5 linked regions of the Macaca fascicularis genome follow. Each later gene encodes a partner of the first gene's protein in a complex. Links are inferred from orthologs where the notes say so. Each region holds a gene or a part of one and is shown in the gene's direction. Other genes may lie near its edges. The genes, in order: mitochondrial import inner membrane translocase subunit Tim23, TIMM17B, TIMM21, TIMM17A and TIMM50.

Evidence for each region.
Region 2: mitochondrial import inner membrane translocase subunit Tim23 (region 1) and TIMM17B share a complex: the UniProt entries of both Homo sapiens proteins name them as parts of the TIM23 complex. The link is inferred for Macaca fascicularis from reciprocal best matches to the Homo sapiens genes TIMM23 and TIMM17B.
Region 3: mitochondrial import inner membrane translocase subunit Tim23 (region 1) and TIMM21 share a complex: the UniProt entries of both Homo sapiens proteins name them as parts of the TIM23 complex. The link is inferred for Macaca fascicularis from reciprocal best matches to the Homo sapiens genes TIMM23 and TIMM21.
Region 4: mitochondrial import inner membrane translocase subunit Tim23 (region 1) and TIMM17A share a complex: the UniProt entries of both Homo sapiens proteins name them as parts of the TIM23 complex. The link is inferred for Macaca fascicularis from reciprocal best matches to the Homo sapiens genes TIMM23 and TIMM17A.
Region 5: mitochondrial import inner membrane translocase subunit Tim23 (region 1) and TIMM50 share a complex: the UniProt entries of both Homo sapiens proteins name them as parts of the TIM23 complex. The link is inferred for Macaca fascicularis from reciprocal best matches to the Homo sapiens genes TIMM23 and TIMM50.

What each region holds. Positions count from the first base shown.
Region 1 is NC_088383.1:59,153,617-59,157,127, forward strand, and holds part of mitochondrial import inner membrane translocase subunit Tim23, read left to right. Parts: intron 1-338; coding exon 339-432; intron 433-660; coding exon 661-745; intron 746-2,407; exon of another isoform or gene 2,408-2,608; intron 2,609-3,116; coding exon 3,117-3,175; intron 3,176-3,511. UniProt on the Homo sapiens protein: Essential component of the TIM23 complex, a complex that mediates the translocation of transit peptide-containing proteins across the mitochondrial inner membrane.
Region 2 is NC_088395.1:49,050,579-49,054,645, reverse strand, and holds the start of TIMM17B (mitochondrial import inner membrane translocase subunit Tim17-B), read left to right. Parts: upstream 1-1,261; 5' UTR 1,262-1,280; coding exon of another isoform or gene 1,281-1,306; 5' UTR 1,307-1,314; coding exon 1,315-1,502; intron 1,503-1,540; coding exon of another isoform or gene 1,541-1,592; exon of another isoform or gene 1,593-1,748; intron 1,749-2,178; coding exon 2,179-2,278; intron 2,279-3,971; coding exon 3,972-4,035; intron 4,036-4,067. Other genes in the region: PQBP1 (polyglutamine-binding protein 1), read right to left, coding at 465-542, 730-838. UniProt on the Homo sapiens protein: Essential component of the TIM23 complex, a complex that mediates the translocation of transit peptide-containing proteins across the mitochondrial inner membrane.
Region 3 is NC_088392.1:6,591,315-6,595,284, reverse strand, and holds the start of TIMM21 (mitochondrial import inner membrane translocase subunit Tim21), read left to right. Parts: upstream 1-1,169; 5' UTR 1,170-1,449; coding exon 1,450-1,750; intron 1,751-3,970. Other genes in the region: FBXO15 (F-box only protein 15), read right to left, coding at 319-434. UniProt on the Homo sapiens protein: Participates in the translocation of transit peptide-containing proteins across the mitochondrial inner membrane.
Region 4 is NC_088375.1:59,700,010-59,704,006, forward strand, and holds the start of TIMM17A (mitochondrial import inner membrane translocase subunit Tim17-A), read left to right. Parts: upstream 1-1,188; 5' UTR 1,189-1,205; coding exon 1,206-1,231; intron 1,232-2,977; coding exon 2,978-3,077; intron 3,078-3,531; coding exon 3,532-3,595; intron 3,596-3,997. UniProt on the Homo sapiens protein: Essential component of the TIM23 complex, a complex that mediates the translocation of transit peptide-containing proteins across the mitochondrial inner membrane.
Region 5 is NC_088393.1:46,561,468-46,565,565, forward strand, and holds the start of TIMM50 (mitochondrial import inner membrane translocase subunit TIM50), read left to right. Parts: upstream 1-1,288; 5' UTR 1,289-1,304; coding exon 1,305-1,412; intron 1,413-2,341; coding exon 2,342-2,492; intron 2,493-3,031; coding exon 3,032-3,063; intron 3,064-3,281; coding exon 3,282-3,303; intron 3,304-4,098. UniProt on the Homo sapiens protein: Essential component of the TIM23 complex, a complex that mediates the translocation of transit peptide-containing proteins across the mitochondrial inner membrane. Has some phosphatase activity in vitro; however such activity may not be relevant in vivo.

The sequences.
Region 1 (3,511 bases):
CAGACTGCTTGTCTATTCTATTCTTCTAATAGCTTTCAGTATTCCTTTCTCTAGAGCTGTCCTTTCTAAACTTAACTTTTGCACAAATCTATCAGATTTAAGTTATGAAGGAAACAGTCTTTAATGAGACTCCCTTCTGAGAACTGTGTTTCCTATTTCATTTCACTTTGATTTAGGTATTACTGTTGCAGAAAGTTTTATTTTTATTTAAGTATAGGTTTGAGTTAATTTAAGGTTTACTCTCTGTGAAAAACTACTTTGAAATGTTAAAAAAGATGACTTTACAAGATTTGTATCTTGAGGGACCCTCAGCTTGGTTTTCATTATTATCCTTTTAGGATACAGATGAGTTTATTTTACCTACTGGAGCTAATAAAACCCGGGGCAGATTTGAGCTGGCCTTCTTTACGATCGGAGGATGTTGCATGACAGGTGAGTGTTACATACTTTTTTCTCAAGTGTGCTCAGTTCAAGTAGTTGAGGGTGCTTAAAATCAAAAGCAGTTAGAATGTTGGTTTCAGGGTTTTTTTTTAATATTTACATTTGTCTTTTTCTATTAAATGAAAAAGAATCAGAAGTGTAGCTATGCAGTTTTGAGTTTCTTTGTTTGTTTTTTAATGTAAAGCTCTCTTATCTGGGTGAATTGTTATGATTTACCAGGGGCTGCGTTTGGGGCAATGAATGGTCTTCGGCTAGGATTGAAGGAAACCCAGAACATGGCCTGGTCCAAACCAAGAAATGTACAGTAAGTCTCATGTAACCATCTGATGTAGTGATACTTGAATATTAAGCTCTGTTTTGTTGGTTTGATGAGTACACCCTTGATATTATAGATGGTTAGCATAGTTATGTGATTTTTTGTCTTTGTTTTTTAATCCTACTCAAAAGCAACTAAGGAATCGGATTACTGACTCTAAGCTTTTAAAAAGGAGTGATTTTTTGAATCCGTGTCCCTCAGTCAGCTAGTGCTATGCCAGCCTGGCTTCTCAGCTGCACCTGTCACATTCTCCAACCCTGTGTGACATGCTTTTCAAACTGTTGAATTGCCGATGGGAATTTTGCATTGTTTGGGGGCATGCGGATCCATAGGAAATGGTAATGAAGACATAAACAGCTCATGAGCGTGATGGCTCAAGCTGCCATCATTTGACTTGAACTTCTTACTGTCTTGACTTTACGTTTCCGAAATGATGAGCCAGATAAATTTTAAATAAAACTTCTAGAATTAGAGTTAATTCCAAAAGGATAAGACACAGTTTTCTGTTAGAACTTGAAGTTGCAGAAAAGGGAAAGTACAGCTAAAAGGATTGGAAAGTATGTTTTCACCCTTCTTAAGAAGTAAACATGGCCAGTCCCTCCTGATATTCCTTAAACAATATGTTTAGTTTTGCCTATTTTTATGCTTCATATATGTTTCATAAGTATGTATTATTCGATGGCTACTGTTTTTGTTTTAGGATGCTTTAAACTCCATCTTCCTTTCATATTGTTCAGCCAGCAGATGGCACCAGATGTGCTAGAACTAGACCATGGGAAACTGGAACGCCTGTTACATTGTGGGGTTTTTTGAGAGACACAGCCTTGCTGTGTTGCCCAGGCTGGCGTGCAGTGCCGCTGTCACAGCTCACTGTAGCCTTGACCTCCTGGGCTCAAGTGATCCTCCCACCTCAGCCTCCCAAGTGACTGGGACTACAGGCACGTGCCACTGTACCCAGTTAATTTTTTAATTTTTTGTAGTGACGTGGTCTCACTGTGTTGCTCAGGCTGTTCTCAAACTCCTGAACTCAGGTGATCCTCCTGCCTCAGCCTTCCAGAGTACTGGGATTATAGACGTGAGCCACTGCGCCTAGCCCTGTTTTTTATATTCCTGTTAACTGTGTGGATCTCTGTCCATGCTTTGCTAGCCTAGATCCTTCAGTATTTTTATTACTTGTCCTTTGCTTCAATAATATTTTTAACTTTTTGTATTATGGGGAATTTTGAATATATAAAAGTAGACAAAAGACATAGCATAGTGAACACATGGACCATAACCCATCCTCAACCATGGCCAGTTCTATCCCATCTCCTTCTCCTCTCCCATCTTGTTTTGAGACAAAAATCCCAATATCATATTAAATACAAATTTGGAAGTAGATCTAGAAAAGACAACTTAATTCCTTTCTTAAAACGAGTTATTAAAATGCTTGTTAAAAATGAAAAAATAATGGCTGAACCAAAAATACGTTAGTAAATATGTAACATAATTAGAAACAATGTACTTCTGTTTGTAAACTTGACTGATTTTTTAAAACAACCTTTCAGAAGCAATACAAATTTTTGTTTCTGTAGAATATTAATTAAATGAGTTGTTTAATAATTAAACTGAATGAGTTCCCTCACTCTTTGTTACTGTATTTCCATAATTTCCAGCAGTAGTCAGCCATCTGGACAGAACCATTCCTGGAATGGTGTTACACTGCTGGGAGAGGAATGTCTTCTCTTCATCCGGTTGCCTCCATCACTGTTCTGGTGGTGTCTGGCACTGGTGCAAGGCAGGACTGTGCTTCCTTGAGCGTGTGCTGAGCATTCACCTTGGCTGCTTGGTTCTAGTCTGGGAGCAGACCCAGGGTGCTTTCCCCGTGTATCCCAGTTAGATGGCTGATTCCTTCTCTTTAATTCTACTTTATATTCTGTACTTTGATATTCTTTACTTTGATTCTCTTTAACATTCTAAGCATATGTTCCCCTTCCAAAAAGAACCTTTTAGAAGCTAGCTCATCATAGTTAACAGTGGCATTTTTTACATGGATTAGTTTCTGTAAACCTCTAAAATACATTCCAGGCTGTCATTCAAAGCCTTACATATATTTAATGTGTATTCATTATATTATACATTTAATAATAAGAGTTTTCCTCAGTTATTGCCCAAAGTCTTGAAAGTTTTAACCTAATTTTCACTTATGTAGAGTAAAAACTATCCTTACTGAAATCTGAGATATTAAGATATATTTTAGAATTTAAAAAATTTTGAGCCTTGGGTCTAGAAATGTTAAATAGCTATTATTATTGTTTTTAAAGGTTACTAGAGAAATAATGATTCTAAATACAGATTCTTTCTCTTTCTGCCCTGGTAGGATTTTGAATATGGTGACTAGGCAAGGGGCACTTTGGGCTAATACTCTAGGTTCTCTGGGTAAGTAGAGATCTCGTGTGATAAATTGTTAAAGAAAGAATGTACAAATATCATGAACAATTTAATCAGCCGATATTCTGGTCCTAGGATATGAGACAATTATGTTTAAATCCATTCCATTGCATAATATAGATACTACTTAGGGAAAGACCATGAACTAACTTATGAAATAATCTCAGGTGCTGATACCATTCTGAATACCATTTCTGAATTTTTAAAATCTTTTGAACACTGCACACTCTCCTTTCCAAGCACAGCACCCAATCATGTTTAAATGAAATCCAGATAATTTAGGTCCAAAGTAAAGAGCTTGGTATATTAGGCAAGGTTCAAGGT
Region 2 (4,067 bases), on another chromosome or scaffold:
AAAAAAAATTCGCCAGGTGTGGTGAAGCACCACAGCATTTCAGCCTGGGCGACAGAGCGAGACTCTGCCTCAAAAAAAAAAAAAAAAAAAAAAAAAAAAAAAAAAAATTCGTCAGGTGTGGTGAAGCGTGCCTGTAGTCCCAACTACTCGGGAGGCTAAGGCAGGAGAATCGCTTGAACCCGGAAGGCGGAGGTCAAAGTGAGCCGAGATCGCGCCACTGCACTCCAGCCTGGGTGCAGAGTGAGACTCCGCCTCAAAAAAAAAAAAGAATGAAATATCTATTCCCCCAACCCGCTCCACTTGACACGCGGTAGAGATGGATGTCAGGAATCCATATCGTTAACAATGAAAAATGCCTGCCACCCCATTGCTTGGTGCAGTTGGCCCACGATAGTCAGTATCAACAACAAAAGTGCCTGTCGAGGCTGGCACGTGTTAGGACCATCTGCTTTTAGCCGACTCACCAGGCTCCAGATGTTTGAGGATGCCTCTCTTGGCCAAGCGGGTCTGCAGCGCAACGGGCAGAGGCATAGCTGATAGACCTAGGGGCAGACGGACAAACTGACAAGCAGCTCAGATAGATTCATATCTGGATCCCGTCACCAAGCCCCTCCCGTCAACATGTACTCATCTGACTCCCATCTACTCAAATGAACCAGTAGTTGGGTGGACAGAACATACGCACTAAAAGATGTAAGAGTTAGGTGGCAATATTATCGCAATTCTCACCAACCCTACTGTCCCGAAACCGGGTGCTCCAGGGCCCTGTTCCTCTCCCAGGCCCAGGCTCCGCCCGCCTAAGGAGCCCGGCCCCTCCGCACTTCAGAAATGGGCTCATCCAGCGTCCCCCAAAGACTGCCGGGTGGGAGAAACCAAAGCGCTGGGATGGGGGAGCAGAGGGCAGCACTTCCTCCAGCTCCAAAAGAGTACGCCCACCCCAACATTACCAATACACTCGTGCAGGTAGTGGACGGCTGTCACACCGGCCGTCTCTCTCGTGTCGCCGCTACGATACCTGGGCCCACACGACTCTCTTCCCAAAACACAGAATGAGACCTTCTCTGAATGAGGCCTTCACTCCCCGAGCCTGAAAGTAACTGGACTACGCTCAGGAGGCAATGAACAAATGGCAGAAACTCGATTGGCCAATGAGAGTGTGCCCTTGGAGTGACATGCGGCGTAGCGACCCAATCGCTGTCCGGTAATAGGCGGAAAGCTTGGACGCCGGTGTGCGTCTACGCTGGGGGCGTGGCCTGACTGCGCGGCCAGACGCCAGCGCCATGGAGGAGTACGCTCGGGAACCTTGGTACGGCGATGGGCACTGGCATCCGGACTGTTGCTGCGACGCCAAGGCCAGCCGTGGGGGTCGGGCGGGGGAGGCACCGGCCGCACAGAGCCATGTACCAGACTCGGGGGACTCTTAACGTATCTCCCGCTACCCCTACTCGGTTCCTGTCACTCGGGCTCCGTTATGAGGGGCCACAACCGTCTCCCCTCAGAAGGTGCGGCGAAGGCCGAACCACGCCATGTTTCTCCTGACCTCGTAATCTCCTAGTCCCTGTTAACGAAAAAAGACACGCTGGCCGATCCATCCTGGCTAGGGGTGGTACAGTGTTGACCGGAAATCCCGAGTTGCCGCGGGTGGTTTTTCCCAGGTCGCCTTTGTCAGTGGGGGCGGGGTACGGATGAACCTGCTGAGGGCCGGCGGGGACGGTGGATGCTTCCCGCGGTCGCTCTTGGTTTTTCCCAGTTGCGCCGGATTGAAAAGGGGCGGGGCATGGTTGGACGGGCACACCGTCGGAGAAGGGGTGCCACGCGGTCCTGCTTTGCTGACAATCTGTCTTGGCTAGTTAACACGCCTACGTCGCTTATTGAAACGTCAACTCTGCGTGTGCCAATTCATTTAATCTTTGATCACAGTAAAACAGTTGGCTGATTCCTTGGTTGATAGACAGGGCGAAGACTAATATTTCTCCCCCTTTGCCCCATTTCTCGCTTTAATGGTGGGGAGCTGTGGAAAAAGCGTGACAGGATTAGCTCCTTATTATCTGAAGTGTTTGTTTCTCCTTAGGAACTTCCCATTCTGGTGACTTGGTTTCTCCCAATTAGAAAAGAGTTCGTGTGACAGGGCCTGGGGGAGGGCTCACATTAACCCCATCCTTCCCTTCCTGCTTGCAGCCCATGGCGAATTGTGGATGATTGCGGTGGAGCCTTCACTATGGGTGTCATCGGTGGCGGAGTCTTCCAGGCCATCAAGGGTTTCCGCAATGCCCCTGTTGTGAGTCCAGACCTTCTCTGGGTTGATGTGGGGTCAGCTGTCTTGCCCACAAGGGATGCTGCTCCGAAAACTGCTTGGAGCTGCCAGTCACGTGCACTTATTCATTCTGGTGGCCACTCACCTACTGTGTGCCAAGCCTGGCTTCTGTATCTGGGATTTTGTAGGGATTTGCAAACATGGCTTCTGTCTTCCACCCTCCACCCCACCCAAATGGAGCTCCTCTGTGGAAATGCTGTGTCGTTCAAAGAGTCATCACCAAATCTTAAATATATGTGCAAAGCCAGACAGATTTTTTTTTTTTTTTTTTTGAGACAGAGTCTTGCTCTGTTGCCCAGGCTAGAGTGCAGTGGCATGATCTTGGCTCCCTGCAACCTCTGCCTCCCGGGTTCAGGCGATTCTCCTGTCTCAGCCTCCTGAGTAGCTGGGACTACAGGCAAGTACCACTAGACCTGGCGAATTTTTGTACTTTTAGTAGAGTTGGGGTTTCACTATGGTGGCCAGTCTGGTCTCGAACTCTGGACCTCAGTTGATCCACCTACCTCGGCCTCCCAAAGTGCTGGGATTACAGGCGTGTGCCACCATGCCTGGCCAATGTTTTTTGTTTTGTTTTGTTTTGTTTTTTGTGGTTTTTTTTGAGACATCATCTTGCCCTGTTGCCCAGGCTGGTGTGCAGTAGCCTAATCAGGGGTCACTACAGCCTCTGCCTCCCAGGCTCAAGTGATCCTCCCAACTCAGCCTCCCAAGTAGCTAGGACCACATGACTGCGCCACCATGCCTGGCTAACTATTTGTTTATTTATTTATTTATTTGTAGAGACTGGGTTTCAACATGTTGCTTAGGCTGGTCTCTAATTCCTGAACTCAAGTGATCCACCCACCTCAGCCTCCCAAAGTGCTGGGATTACAGGTGTGAGCCACTGCACCAGGACCAGACACATTTTACCTAGAGGCAGATTCTGACTCAGAAACCTGTATAGAGGAAAATGGCAGGAATTTAATTGGCAGAGGGAAGACAGCCTTAAAGTTGAGAGAATTTTTTTAACATAGTTCTTTTTCTCTGACCACCTCCCCTCCCAGAAGATCGCAAATGCCGTGACTTTAAATGCCATCTATTAGCCAAAGTCTCTGCAATTTATATATGTAGCCCCGTCCCTCCCCTAGACTCCTGGAACTCTCCTCCCTGGATCTTTGCCCAAGTTTGTCATCATCAAGGTCTCAGCACAGATTCTCTCTCCTTCAAGAGGCCTTTCCTGACCCCTCAGCCCCAATCATATTTCTTCATGGCATTTCCTCTAGAGTGCAGATTGCTGAAGCGCCCTTGTTTACTTATCCTTGCTCAAGGTCTGTGTCTCCCACTGTTAATGTGAGCTCTGAGAGGGCAGGGAGCAGATCTACCTTGTTCATGGCTGTATCTCTGCATATGGCATGGTGCTTGGCACATATAGTAGGTACTTGTTAATCATTCACTGAATGAATGAATGAACAAACGTATGAATGCATTAGCACTTCTCAACCCACCTCTGAGAACACCCATGTTGGGGCGCTCTCCAGGACCCTAGTTCTTGGCCACTTTTCCACATTTCTACTGCTGATACCTCTAACAGGTCTCCCATCTTTTTCCCTCTCTTAAAAGTTGGAAACCTGTCTGCCAGTGGCTTCAGCCCTGCCCTGACGGACTTCCTTCCTTTCCCCAGGGAATTCGGCACCGGTTGAGAGGTAGTACCAACGCTGTGAGGATCCGAGCCCCCCAGATTGGAGGTGAGGGACTTGGGGAGATAGATATAGGAGAT
Region 3 (3,970 bases), on another chromosome or scaffold:
GTGAATCTATGGCACGCACCCCGGAGAAGCACCTCTTGGACCGGCAGCTGTCGTGGCAAGTGAGCGTAACCCCGACCACAGGCGCCGCGAGAAAAAATATTTCCCCGAGAGGCTACTCTACTTGTGTTATAACTTAGGGAACCCCACATTGCAGGGTAGAAAGGATTTCCTCCGGTCGTTCTTCCAGACCCTTCTCACGTTGAAGAGGGCCGCGGGCGTTGTGCCAAGCTGGACGAATAAAATACACGGTGGAGAGAGTGGGGCCGCGCAGTGAGGGGCTTCCCGCCAGCGGACCCCACCCGCAGGCCCTACAGTCACCTGAACCCAAAGGTCCTGGCGCGCCCCCGGGCCGCGCCACCTCCCCTGCTGGGCCCGCGCAGCGTCTGGAGGCCGAGCCAGTGCTGCTGCAAGATCCGACCGCGTCCAGTCGCCATGGAGACGAGTTCACCATAGACCCGCTCAAGGGCGGAAACTAGGAGGGCACGCACCGCCCCCACGCCCGCGCGTCGCCACACCCCCTTACGCCCATGCGCAAGTTCACAAAAGTACCGCTGGCCTGGCGCGTGCGCAGACGGCACCGCGCCAGACAGCCGCTCGCAAAGCGGGCTTCTAGAAACTTCCGGGCCCCAGCTTCTTTCCCCACCCCTACATTCTGCCACCAAGGGCGCTAAGCAAGTCCTCGGCTTAACCATTTAGGAAACCGGTGCCTGCTTTGCAGCGGCCTCGTTCATCTCCACTTGCTGACTCTTTTTTGTCCGGCTTTTCTGAAAACACAGTGAAATGCAAAAACGAAATCATTTGCCCACGCGGAATAGAGAAGACCACAGTCAGAGGGAGTACTTCCCACTGTGCACAGTCCACTCTAGAAGGATAAGGAAAACACGTAGTGTGTAACTGCTAATTTGGCTTTTGCAAGTCCCGCTTGAATTACGTAGGGTCTGTGGTACCAATTACCCCACCAACTCCCCGCCTTCCCGCCTCTCCAAGGACGCGCAGCGTCTGCGCAGGCGCTGGGCACGGAAGCGCCTGGGGGCGCGGGAACGGCCTGCGCCGTGCTCTGGCCGCCTTGAATTGTGGGAGATGTAGTCTCTTGTGCGCGCCCCATTGCCGCATCCCAGTTAAGAGCGAGGTCTTCAAACTACTATTCCCAGGAAGACGGGGGGTTTCCCAGGTGACTTTGCGAAGACATGGCGGGGACACTGTGAATGTCAGCCCAGAAGGTAATCAGAGCGTGTTGATTCAAAGAAAACAGAAGGGAAGGTAGACAGCAGGTTCTCCCTGGAGATTTTTCGTTTTCATTTACGCTGCTGAAGCCAACGTTTTTGCCTAACACGCCATGTAATGTAAACGTATAGGTTTGAGTACGTGTCCGGCCAGATGTGTAGTGAACCCGAAAACTTTCCTAATTGTAGTTAGCATCGTCCCTAAGCGGAACGATTTTCTGTGAACATGATTTGTACTTTTCTACGAGCCATACAGTATACGGAGAAGCTGCACAGGTCCTCGGCAAAGCGATTGCTTTTGCCCCACATTGTGCTTAACAAAGCGTGCTTGAAGACTGAGCCCAGTTTGAGATGGGGGCTTCAATATCAAAAGAAAACAGTGCGACCTAGATGTATTCTTGGAGTCACTCAGAAAACCATCTGGACGCAGGGACCGAGCCCCCGGAAAGCAAAGGAGGGTAGCAGCAAACAAGTGTCTGTACACAGGAGTCAAAGAGAGGGAACCGCCGTCCCAACATCACAAAAAGGTAAAAAGGAGTACTTCAATGATTGGTCTTTCAACAGACGTGACAAGAGCTGCCAATGCTCTTTTACACCAAGTTCACTACTAAAGGTGAAAAAGCAATTAACATGAATTTTTAAAAGCCGTTTAAACATAATTTAGAGCTAGAACATATAGACCTACAGTTTTCTTCACAGATTGGAACTCAGATTTGAAAGTTGATCTTGAATTTGATATAACTTTCTTTCGTTATGTTTGGGAAATTTTTCTCAAGTTGTATTGGCTCTGTTACATATAATAAAGAGTAATTGGATAGGATAAAAAGAGAGAGAGAGCTTATTGACTCATAATCAATAGGGAAAACTTTCGTATGTTACCTGCAATAATAGAAAAACATAAACTAGGGAGGATGGAATGTAATTTGTCAGGGAAAGTCAGAGATATGTTCACAGATATTTTAAGATTTTTTTTTAATTTCTTCATTTCGCATGTGATTTGTAGGAAAAAAAGGACAAAGCAATTTAGACCCCATGATTATACCACACAAAGATGACTATTTTTAACATTTTGCACTTTCATACACATACCTTTTAATAATTTTTAACCCAAAAAATTGAATCATATTCTACCAATTGTTTTGTAATCTGCTGAATATGCCAAAAACCTAGTTTTTCATTTGTAATAGTTCAGCACGAAGGAACAATCCGTATGCAGAGGTGAAAGGCATAGAAGTGGCAAACAGCATGTGTGTCAGGTAATCTGGCTCAGGCAACAGTGCTGCTGCTTGCACTGCATGCCAGGCCTGCTTAGGGACCCCTTCCCTGATCTGCACCCCATTCAGAGGTGACAGTCCTTGTTGCTGAATGAATGGATGGGAGCAACATTCCCAAATATGGAATATGCTGTGTCCAGAATTCAAAGAAACATTGTGGTAGTAGGTATAGGGTACAATTGTCTTTTACTTGGGAGGGCATGTCCTGGCACACCCCAGTGTAGCCCCATGAGGTCAGCTCATGTGTTGGTGAGCCTCTGCATCTTTGTTGGGCCCACCTCTCACACTTGCAGCTTGTCTGACCAAGCCTTCTAACACACTTGCCACTTGTTACTTCTGGGCTCTAACACGATAGTGTAAACATAGTAGACAAATGTGATATTCTGCTGAATGTCCAGAACAGCATTATTCAAATAAAACTTTCTGCAGTCATAGAAATGTCCTATATTTATGGTGTCCATTTGGGTAGTTCCTGGCCACTTGTAGCTATTTTGAGCACTTGAAATGTTGCTAAATTATGTTACTGAAGAACTGAATTTTAATTAATTTAAAATTGAACTGAAATACCCATGAGTGGTGAGTGGCTACTGTATTAGACAGCCCAGATCCAGAAAGTTTCACTCCCTTAAGACTGTAACAACAGAGGGTGAGAGAATTAGCAAATCCTGGTCAGGATCATAAACATACACTGTTATTATCTGTTTCATGTTACTACACACTACTCCTGCTGCTGCTTCTGAATAGAAGGCATTCTTCAAATCAATGGCCAATACCATGAGATTGTGTTAATGCACTGCCGTGTAAAGTTACCATGTGTGGTATTGCATGTGTACCCCGGCTGCCACTTGGTTAAGTTTGCAGTTAACCACTGTCATTCTCCAGCGCCTATTTGTGTTTTGTAAAGGAAGACTGGTAAATTACAAGGGACTGTGATAGGGGCCACCATGCCTGTATCTAAGGTCTCTAAGAATTGCACTCTTTCTGCCATTCCCCATGGATGTGATACCATTTTTAATTTATTACCTTGGTCACTGGGGCAGTTTCAGAGGCTTCCATTTGACTTTTCCCACTCTGATAGCTCTTAACCCACTTCCAAAGGAACTAAAGTGGGAGTTATTGTTGCCAATTACTCAGTACATCCCCTTGATTTATACATTTGGAAATCAAGGAAATTATTACCAGATAAGTCCCTGGACCCAGCTGTGAGCTTCTTACATGCTGTCGGGGGGGTGGGGGGTGGTCGGGGGGTCATCATGACTCTTTGGGTCCTTGGATATCACTGTCAGCACAGACTATGTCCAAGTTGATAACTATAGGTCCTTTTGGTGAAGGACCGGGGTAGTCAGTCACATACACTTTCCTTCAGTAAATGGGTTCCAGGTCTGAAAACTGGTTCAGGTCCAGAAACCGGGGCAATGTTCAGAGCTTTGCATTAGAGCAACTGCCTTCAGCCTCAGGAGTCATCTGAGGTTA
Region 4 (3,997 bases), on another chromosome or scaffold:
GGCTCAAGCCATCTTCCCGCCTCGGTTTCCTGAATAGCTAGGGCTACAAGTGCGTGCCACTATGCCTGGCCTGGTCCCCATAAGTCCCCTCTTCTCCGAGCCAAACATCTTCACACCTTCCGGTGATCATTAGTGGAGAGGCCTGTGAGAGGTCAATGTCCCTGAAATCGAGGGCTCCAAATTGGTCATGGCTTTCTTCAGATGGCCCAAACAGCTTGTTTCATTTCACAAACATTTATTGAGCATCTACTACATTCCAGGCACTGTGGTTATTATAAATCACTGAGACATTGTTTGCCCTAAAGGAGCTACGTGTATTTAATAACAGCTTCACAATATGTGACGAATAAGATAGCACTAATCCACATTTGACAGCAAAAGTACCAAAAAAGAAAGAAAGAAAAAGAAGAGAGAGAAAGAAAAGAAAAGAGGTGAAAGAGGGCGGATGCGGTGGTGTAATCCTAGCACTCTGGGAGGCCGAGGTGGGCGGATCACGAGGTCAGCAGTTCGATCCAGCCTGATCAACATGGCGAAACCCCGTTTCTACTAAAAATATACAAAATTTAGCGGGACCTGGGGGCGCGCGCCTGTAATCCCAGCTACTCAGGAGGTTGAGGCAGGAGAATCGCTTGAACCCGGGAGGCGGAGGTTGCAGTGAGCGGATATCGCGCCGCTGCACTCCAGCCTGGGCGATAGAGCCAGACTCCGTCTCAAAAAGAAAAAGAAAAAGAAAAAGAAAAAGAAAAGGAAAAAGAAAAAGGAAGAAAGGAAAGAAGGAAGGGAGGGAGGGAGGCAGGGAGGGAGGCAAGGCGCGAAGGAGAGAAGAAAAGGAAAGGGAAGGGAAGGGAAGGCGGAAGGGAAGGCGGAAGGGAAGGGAAGGAAAGAAGCGTATTTAGGAAGTATCGCGTTGATGTCAGGCCACGGAACCTCTGGTGACCGGGTAGTGTAACTCCGTCATTGGTAGCTCCCCGCCCACACAGCCGGGACCCGCGGCCTTCGAGGACATGGACTGTGCCAGTCTTGCCCCGTCGCGGCCAATGCCCCAACCACACGCAGTCCACAGGAGTCCTGGGTCCCATTGGCTGCAGCGGGAAACGGTGAACCAATCCTCATAGGCCTTAACGCCCTCCTCTCGGGGTCACTTCCGCCTCTGGGGTCAGGCTCCGCCCAGCTTGCCCGGCATCACTCGCGGCGTTGGAGTCAACATGGAGGAGTACGCGCGAGAGCCTTGGTGAGCCTCACCGCTGTCTTTGCATTTCTCTTGCCCGCCTGCCCACTGCCCTCCTTCTCCCCTGTCCATGCTCCCAAGGTGCAAGCCAGACTCAACCGCAGCCTTGTCGACTTGGGCCTGGTAACTGTGGGCAATGCAGTCTTTCACGGCCAGTCGGCTTAGCCCTGTACCCACTACCTTCCCGGCCTCGTGAGCCTCGCTCTCCCAACCCAGCACCCGTGTGATCCTGTGGTGGATGGTAGAGAGGTCCAGACTTGAGTTTGATAGAACCTCGGAACCTCCTCCCAACGCAGGGCATAATCGACCTTATGCGGGGCCAGTTATAATCCCCTCTGTTCGCCGAGGTGACCTTGGGCGCGTCCCTCCGTCTCGCCTTGCTCAGTTCCTGCGTTGAGGAACTGAAGAACAAGCATTTGAGGGAGTGTCATTCTTGAGGTTTTACTTGTATCATGATAGGTGTCCGCAGAGCGAAGCATTTTAAGTGAATGGAACATAGATTTTAGCCAAGGGGTCTGGATAAGCTGCTTTAGACAGTGGGGGCATGTTTTTTTCTCCTTGGAATCCTTTCTTGTGGGTAGAGGGGGACAAAAATTACCTGGGAAATAGGAAGAGGTAATAGCATGTGTTCTCCGAAAAGCCATGGACAGAAATTCATTCTTTCATCCAGCGTTTATTGAATGTGAATAAACCAGACACATAGATAATTATAAAACGATGTAATTGCTGTCAGAAGTCTCAGGTTGCGAGAGTTTAAAGTTTCTGGGGTCATAAGTAAAAAATCAAATCTTGATATTTCGATTAATCATTTGTTTTATTGTGTGAGAGCAGCAACCAAGATGTCCTCAATTTGTGAAAGTGCCCAGGACCTTGAGTTATTACTCTGTTATCCTAGCCTTGAATTATTACTCTGCTTTCCTAGCCTTGTTGCCTGTTTCGTGTTCCCTTCTCTCCTAAATGGCATACAAAATGTAAGTTTTAGGGTCTCCTGGCTCTTCAAACTTATCTTCTTCAAAGCAGTTATCCTCCATTCTGGATTGTGCTCAGATATGTAGGACTCAGCACACTGTAAATAGCTGTTTGATGTAGTATAATGACACAGGTTAGCAGAGGATTAAAATATTTAACTATGTTGAGTTAGAGATCTTAGAAAAATAAGGCCAGGCGTGGTGGATTACACCTGTAATCCCAGCACTTTGGAAGGCCGAGGTGGATCACGAGGTCAGGAGTTTGAGACCAGCCTGGCCTATATGGTGAAACCCCGTCTGTACTAAAAATACAATTATTTGCCGGGCGTCGTGGCGCACACCTGTAGTCCCAGCTACTCGGGAGGCTGAGGCAGGAGAATCGCTTGAACCCGGGAGACAGGTTTCAGTGAGCCAAGATCGCGCTATTGCACTGCAGCCTGGGTGATAGAGTGAGACTCCATCTCAAAAAAAAAAAAAAATTCTTAGAAAAATACTGGGTTTTCATTTAGTAAATCGTTAGGTAACCCCTTAACATTCAGTACGTATGTCCTGAAACAATATAATCAGTTACCTGGTTAGCTTTGTAGTCAAAACTGCTTTGATTTTTTGACTGCCCTGTTTGGTCATAGCACTTCCTCAAGTCATTTTATAGGCCAAATATTTATTGGTTGCAGTGGGTCCTGCAATATAATCTGTTCCATTATAATCCTTACTGTATTAGCAAAGATTTTATGGTTTGTGAATGAGAAATGTGGTCTTTTTTTTCCCCCTCTGTTCTTAGCCCATGGCGAATTGTGGATGACTGTGGTGGGGCCTTTACGATGGGTACCATTGGTGGTGGTATCTTTCAGGCAATCAAAGGTTTTCGCAATTCTCCAGTGGTAAGTGGGTGAATGGTCTTATTTTATCATCACTTGAAGTGTGGGTTTGATATTACTGGTGGTCCCATCAGTGGCTTAGAAATGTACTTCTAGGCCGGGCGCGGTGGCTCAAGCCTGTAATCCCAGCACTTTGGGAGGCCGAGACGGGTGGATCACGAGGTCAGGAGATCGAGACCATCCTGGCTAACACAGTGAAACCCCGTCTCTACTAAAAAATACAAAAAAACTAGCCGGGCGAGGTGGCGGGCGCCTGTAGTCCCAGCTACTCAGGAGGCTGAGGCAGGAGAATGGCCTGAACCCGGGAGGCGGAGCTTGCAGTGAGCTGAGATCCGGCCACTGCACTCCAGCAAGGGGGACAGAGTGAGACTCCGTCTCAAAAAAAAAAAAAAAAAAAAAAAAAAAAAAGAAATGTACTTCTAATATATTTTTTGTTGCTTCTTTTTTTTTGTTATAGGGAGTAAACCACAGACTACGAGGGAGTTTGACAGCTATTAAAACCAGGGCTCCACAGTTAGGAGGTGAGCAGAATTTTCATTTTAAGTGAACTGTTTTTTTCTGTTTATTTGAAGATGGAGCTATTTTTATTTTTAGATTATAACAATTAATGATTTTAGTTTGGTCTAACAGTTTGTCACAAACATATATCCCTATAGTTTCTTCTTGATTTTTAGTTTGTTTGAAAAATTAACCTGAATTATGATAGCCATTTGAAAATCTTGTCTCCATCCTTCAGATACTCTGTGATTTTTTTTCACCCTTCTCCAGAAGAAAGTGTGTTTAAAGCTCAGGTTTGAGGCTGGGCATGGGTCGTAATCCCAGCACTTTGGGAGGCCAAGGTAGGCAGATCACCTGAGGTCGGGAGTTCGAGACCAGCTTGACCAACATGGAGAAACCCCATCTCTACTAAAAATACAAAATTA
Region 5 (4,098 bases), on another chromosome or scaffold:
CATGGTAGGAAGGGGCCGGGCGCGGTGGCTCACGCCTGTAATCCCAGCACTTTGGGAGGCCGAGGCGGGCGGATCACAAGGTCAGGAGATCGAGACCATCCTGGCTAACACAGTGAAACCCGGTCTCTACTAAAAATACAAAAAAAGTAGTAGGGCATAGTGGCGGGCACCTGTAGTCCCAGCTACTCGGGAGGCTGAAGCAGGAGAATGGCATGAACCCTGGAGGCGGAGCTTGCAGTGAGCCGAGATCGCGCCACTGCACTCCAGCCCTGGTGACAGAGCAAGACTCTGTCTCAAAAAAAAAAAAAAAAGGAAGGAATGGGAGAGAAAACAGATTCCTCCTCCCAGCTCCATGTGAGGAAGAGTTTTATTATTAATTTTTATTTTTTTGAGACGGAGTCTCCCTCTGTCTCCCAGGCTGGAGTGCAGTGGCACCATCTAGGCTCACTGCAACCTCCGCCTCCCGGGTTCAAGCGATTATCCTGCCTCAGCCTCCCCAGCAGGTGGGACTACAGGCGTGCACCATCATGCCTGACTAATTTTTTTTTTTTTTTTTTTTTTTTTTTTTTTTTTTAGTAGAGAGGGGGTTTTGCCTTATTGGCCAGGCTGGTCTCAAACTCCTGACCTCAGGTGATCTGCCTGCCTCAGCCTCCCAAAGTCCTGAGATTATAGGCGTGAGCCACCGCGCCTGGCCTATTATTATTAATTTTAAAAATAGAGATGGCAGTCTTGCTATGTTATCCAGGGTGGTCTCAAACTCCCGGCCTCAAGCGATCCTCCTGCCTCGGCCTCCCAAAGCGCAGGGATTACAGGTGTGAGCCACCGTGCCTGGCCAAAAGAGTTTTCGAGGACTGGCTTTTCAGGTCGCTTTCAGGGCCTCAATGTATATTTCTGACAATTGGGAGGTGAGGGCCGATGCCCTTACACAGTGAGACAAGCGACCTGACTCGTGACTATTTTTTTGGACAAATCAGGCAGCCACTGACTCCATTATGGCCTCAGCTTTACCTCTGGGCAATGAGTGTGATCCCTTCCCTCGCTGCGTCCTTTGCAGGGGCGGTGGCGCTCTGCAAGGCCCAAGCGGGGCGTGGTCCAGATGACTTTGGATCCCAGTTGGCGCCCCCCCAGAGGCAGCCAGGAGAATGGTAAGAGGCAAGCGCGCCTGCAGCAATCCGCCCGATGACTTTGGTCTCTCTCGGGCTTCCGTCCACCCGCCCCGCCTCCGCGCTTCCATTGGCTGTAGCTCCGGCCCGGGGCGGGTGAAAAGGGAGCGAGTGGGCGGGGCCGCGTGGCGTCAGCGCAAGATGGCGGCCTCGGCAGCGCTGTGCTCGCGCTTGCGGAGCGGGCTCCGGCTCGGCTCGCGGGGACTGTGCACGAGGTTGGCGACGCCGCCCCCCCGGGCCCCAGATCAGGTGAGCGGAACGAGGGTGGCACTCTGAATGTGGGGTCCCTTCCCTGGAGTTCCGGACATATCGCCGCCCCTTGGGGGTTCCGGGACGCCTCACCTCAGGGTGCTGAATGAAACGCCGCTTGCGTTTTGGGGCCCTTCCCAGCCTCCTGGGTGGACAACACTTGCTCCCCTAGGCTGGAGGCTGGGAACCCAGATGTGTCCTCTAGACCCCACCTCCCACCCACGTGGGTGCCGGAGGAGGAGAAGGTTACCGGTTCCCCATCTCAGTGACCACTCAGGTGATACTTGAGCAGGAGGGGCCTGGTATGCTGGAGTCCCAGTCTGGCCGTGGGAGTTATTTTCTCTGTGGCGTTGGTGGTGATGAGGTAGACGTTTGGGTTTCCAATTCGACCTGCCTCCATGTTGACAGAGACCCAGCCATTCTGACCTCCAACTCTATCACTTCTGTACCCGAGTTCCCCAAGCCCCAGACAAGTGATTGCCCCTCCCCGCCTCCGCTCCCATCCCTTACCCTGTAACTCTGCTACCTTTAGCCCCAAGCAGCCGGATGTCGTAACTCCCCGTCCTGTCTGTCCCCCTTCCCCCACCACTTGTGACCTCCGTTTCCTCTCATCCCAGTGTTTAGGCCCTCCCATCCCTTATTCTCCGTGCTCTGCTTTTCTGGACTGCAGACCCTCCAGTCCTGTTGCCTTCAGGATCCTGTGCACCTGGCCTGTTAGCTCTTAAAACTCCTGGCATCCTGGTGCGGGACAGTCTGCTTTTGACCCTCTGAGCGCCCCACTTCCTGACTGCGCCTCCAGGGACACAGATGTCCAGGGCTCTGTGGGTGTCTGCCTCTTGGCTCCCGAACTTGATTCTTCTTGTACTGGAAGGTTGGAACCATCCTGACCTCTCTTCTCTCTTAGCTGACCTCCCCTTTCTCAATCGCAGGCCGCAGAGATCGGGAGCCGCGGGGGCACTAAGGCACAAGGGCCACAGCAGCAGCCGGGTTCAGAGGGTCCCAGCTATGCCAAAAAAGTTGCGCTCTGGCTTGCTGGGCTGCTTGGAGCTGGTGGGACCGTGAGCGTCGTCTATATCTTTGGTGAGGGACATATCCCTGCCTTCCAGTTTTGTTCCTTGGCCTCCCTAGTCCACTGTGAAATCTCCCACTCTTACCCCCTACCAACGTGTCTCATCTTCATTCCCTGGCTCCTTCCTCAATAGGGCAGCCAAATAGGACACCTACCTTGAAAACCAGGGAAGTCTTCTTTCTTCTCCCTTCTGCTCCTTAAGGTTCTAGTCTTTCTAGTTGGTTCCTGTACCAGAATACAGGAAAGAGGGAAAGATGGGGAAGGATAGGCCTGAATCAGCTTCCTAAACTTTGTCTTTACTCAGCACCCAAAAATCCAGCCTTCCACTAGTTCCTTTATCCCACAGACCCAAGAGTCCCAGCCCCAGCCCCCTTTCTCTCAAAGACCCAGGAATCTTGGCTCCCAGCCCCCTCCTGGCTTGAATCCAGGAGGCTGTGCCTCTAACTCTCTTTCCTCAGATCCAGGAGTCCAGGCCCTTTATCCCACTCCTCCCTCAGGACCCAGGGGACTGGGCCCTAATTCCTCATATTCATCCTGGTCTCCCTTGCAGGAAACAACTCAGTGGACGAAAATGGTGCCAAGGTGAGGGGGAAAGAGACCGAGGCCTTGCCAGGAGTCCTAGCCTGTGGGTGAGAGGGGTCCTCTTTGGTCTGTTTAGGCACATTGCTTGTCTGGAGTGAGCCTGTCTTTCCCAGTGACCTTTGCCTATTCCTGTTGGGGTCCTGGAGATTCCTTTTCTGTATGTGATGGGGTTCTGCCTCTGACATCCTAAACCTTCCATTTTTCTCTCCACCTCCCAGATTCCTGATGAGTTTGACAATGGTGAGTGAACAAGCACAGATTCTGGAGTCCCTGACCCTCTCAACTCTGTCATTTGTAAGGATGTCTCTCTCCCCATCTGGTGTCTCCGGCCCCTCCTCCTTCCACTGGGGAGGTGGGGGAGCCAGCAGCTGGATGGCGTTGTGGGGAGGGACATTACAAAGCCCAAGCCCGCTTCCCTGGCCCCTCAGCCCCGAGCAGATGGTCAGAGACAGATGGGGGAGGGGAGCCTTGGGTGGGAGGGCTTGGGGACACAGCGTGGCCTATCTCCAGACACATGGGTTCCTGTGTCTTCGACCAAGCATCTGCAGCTCCCAACTCCTTCCCCATCCCCCTCAAGCCCCTACCCCATTAGGCTCATTTTCAAAACAACGCCTCCTTCCTCCCTCTCCATCTGGTTAACCAGCTTTTGGTGGTGAAGTTTATGACAAATTGGATAGTAGAGATTAGTTGTCAATCGTGTCATACCTGGCTCTTCCCAGGAGAAGAATGAAATTGGTGGGTCCAGAAAGCCACCTGTTTATGTTGGGGGACGTTTGCAAACAGTCATGTTAATACATTGATTGTTTCAAACTGGGCAGGTGGGTGAGTGCCATTTTAACCGGGCAGTTGTAGAATCATGCTGTCTTCCACAAATAATATGCTGAATTAAATTGGGCAGGTAAATCTGAAGTTTTAAAGTGTATATGTTTACTAGCCTAACTGGTTTCAATATTGTGTTTTTTTGTTTTTATTTTTTATTTTTTTGAGACATAGTCTTGCTCTGTTGCCCAGGCTGGAGTGCAGTAGTGCAATTTT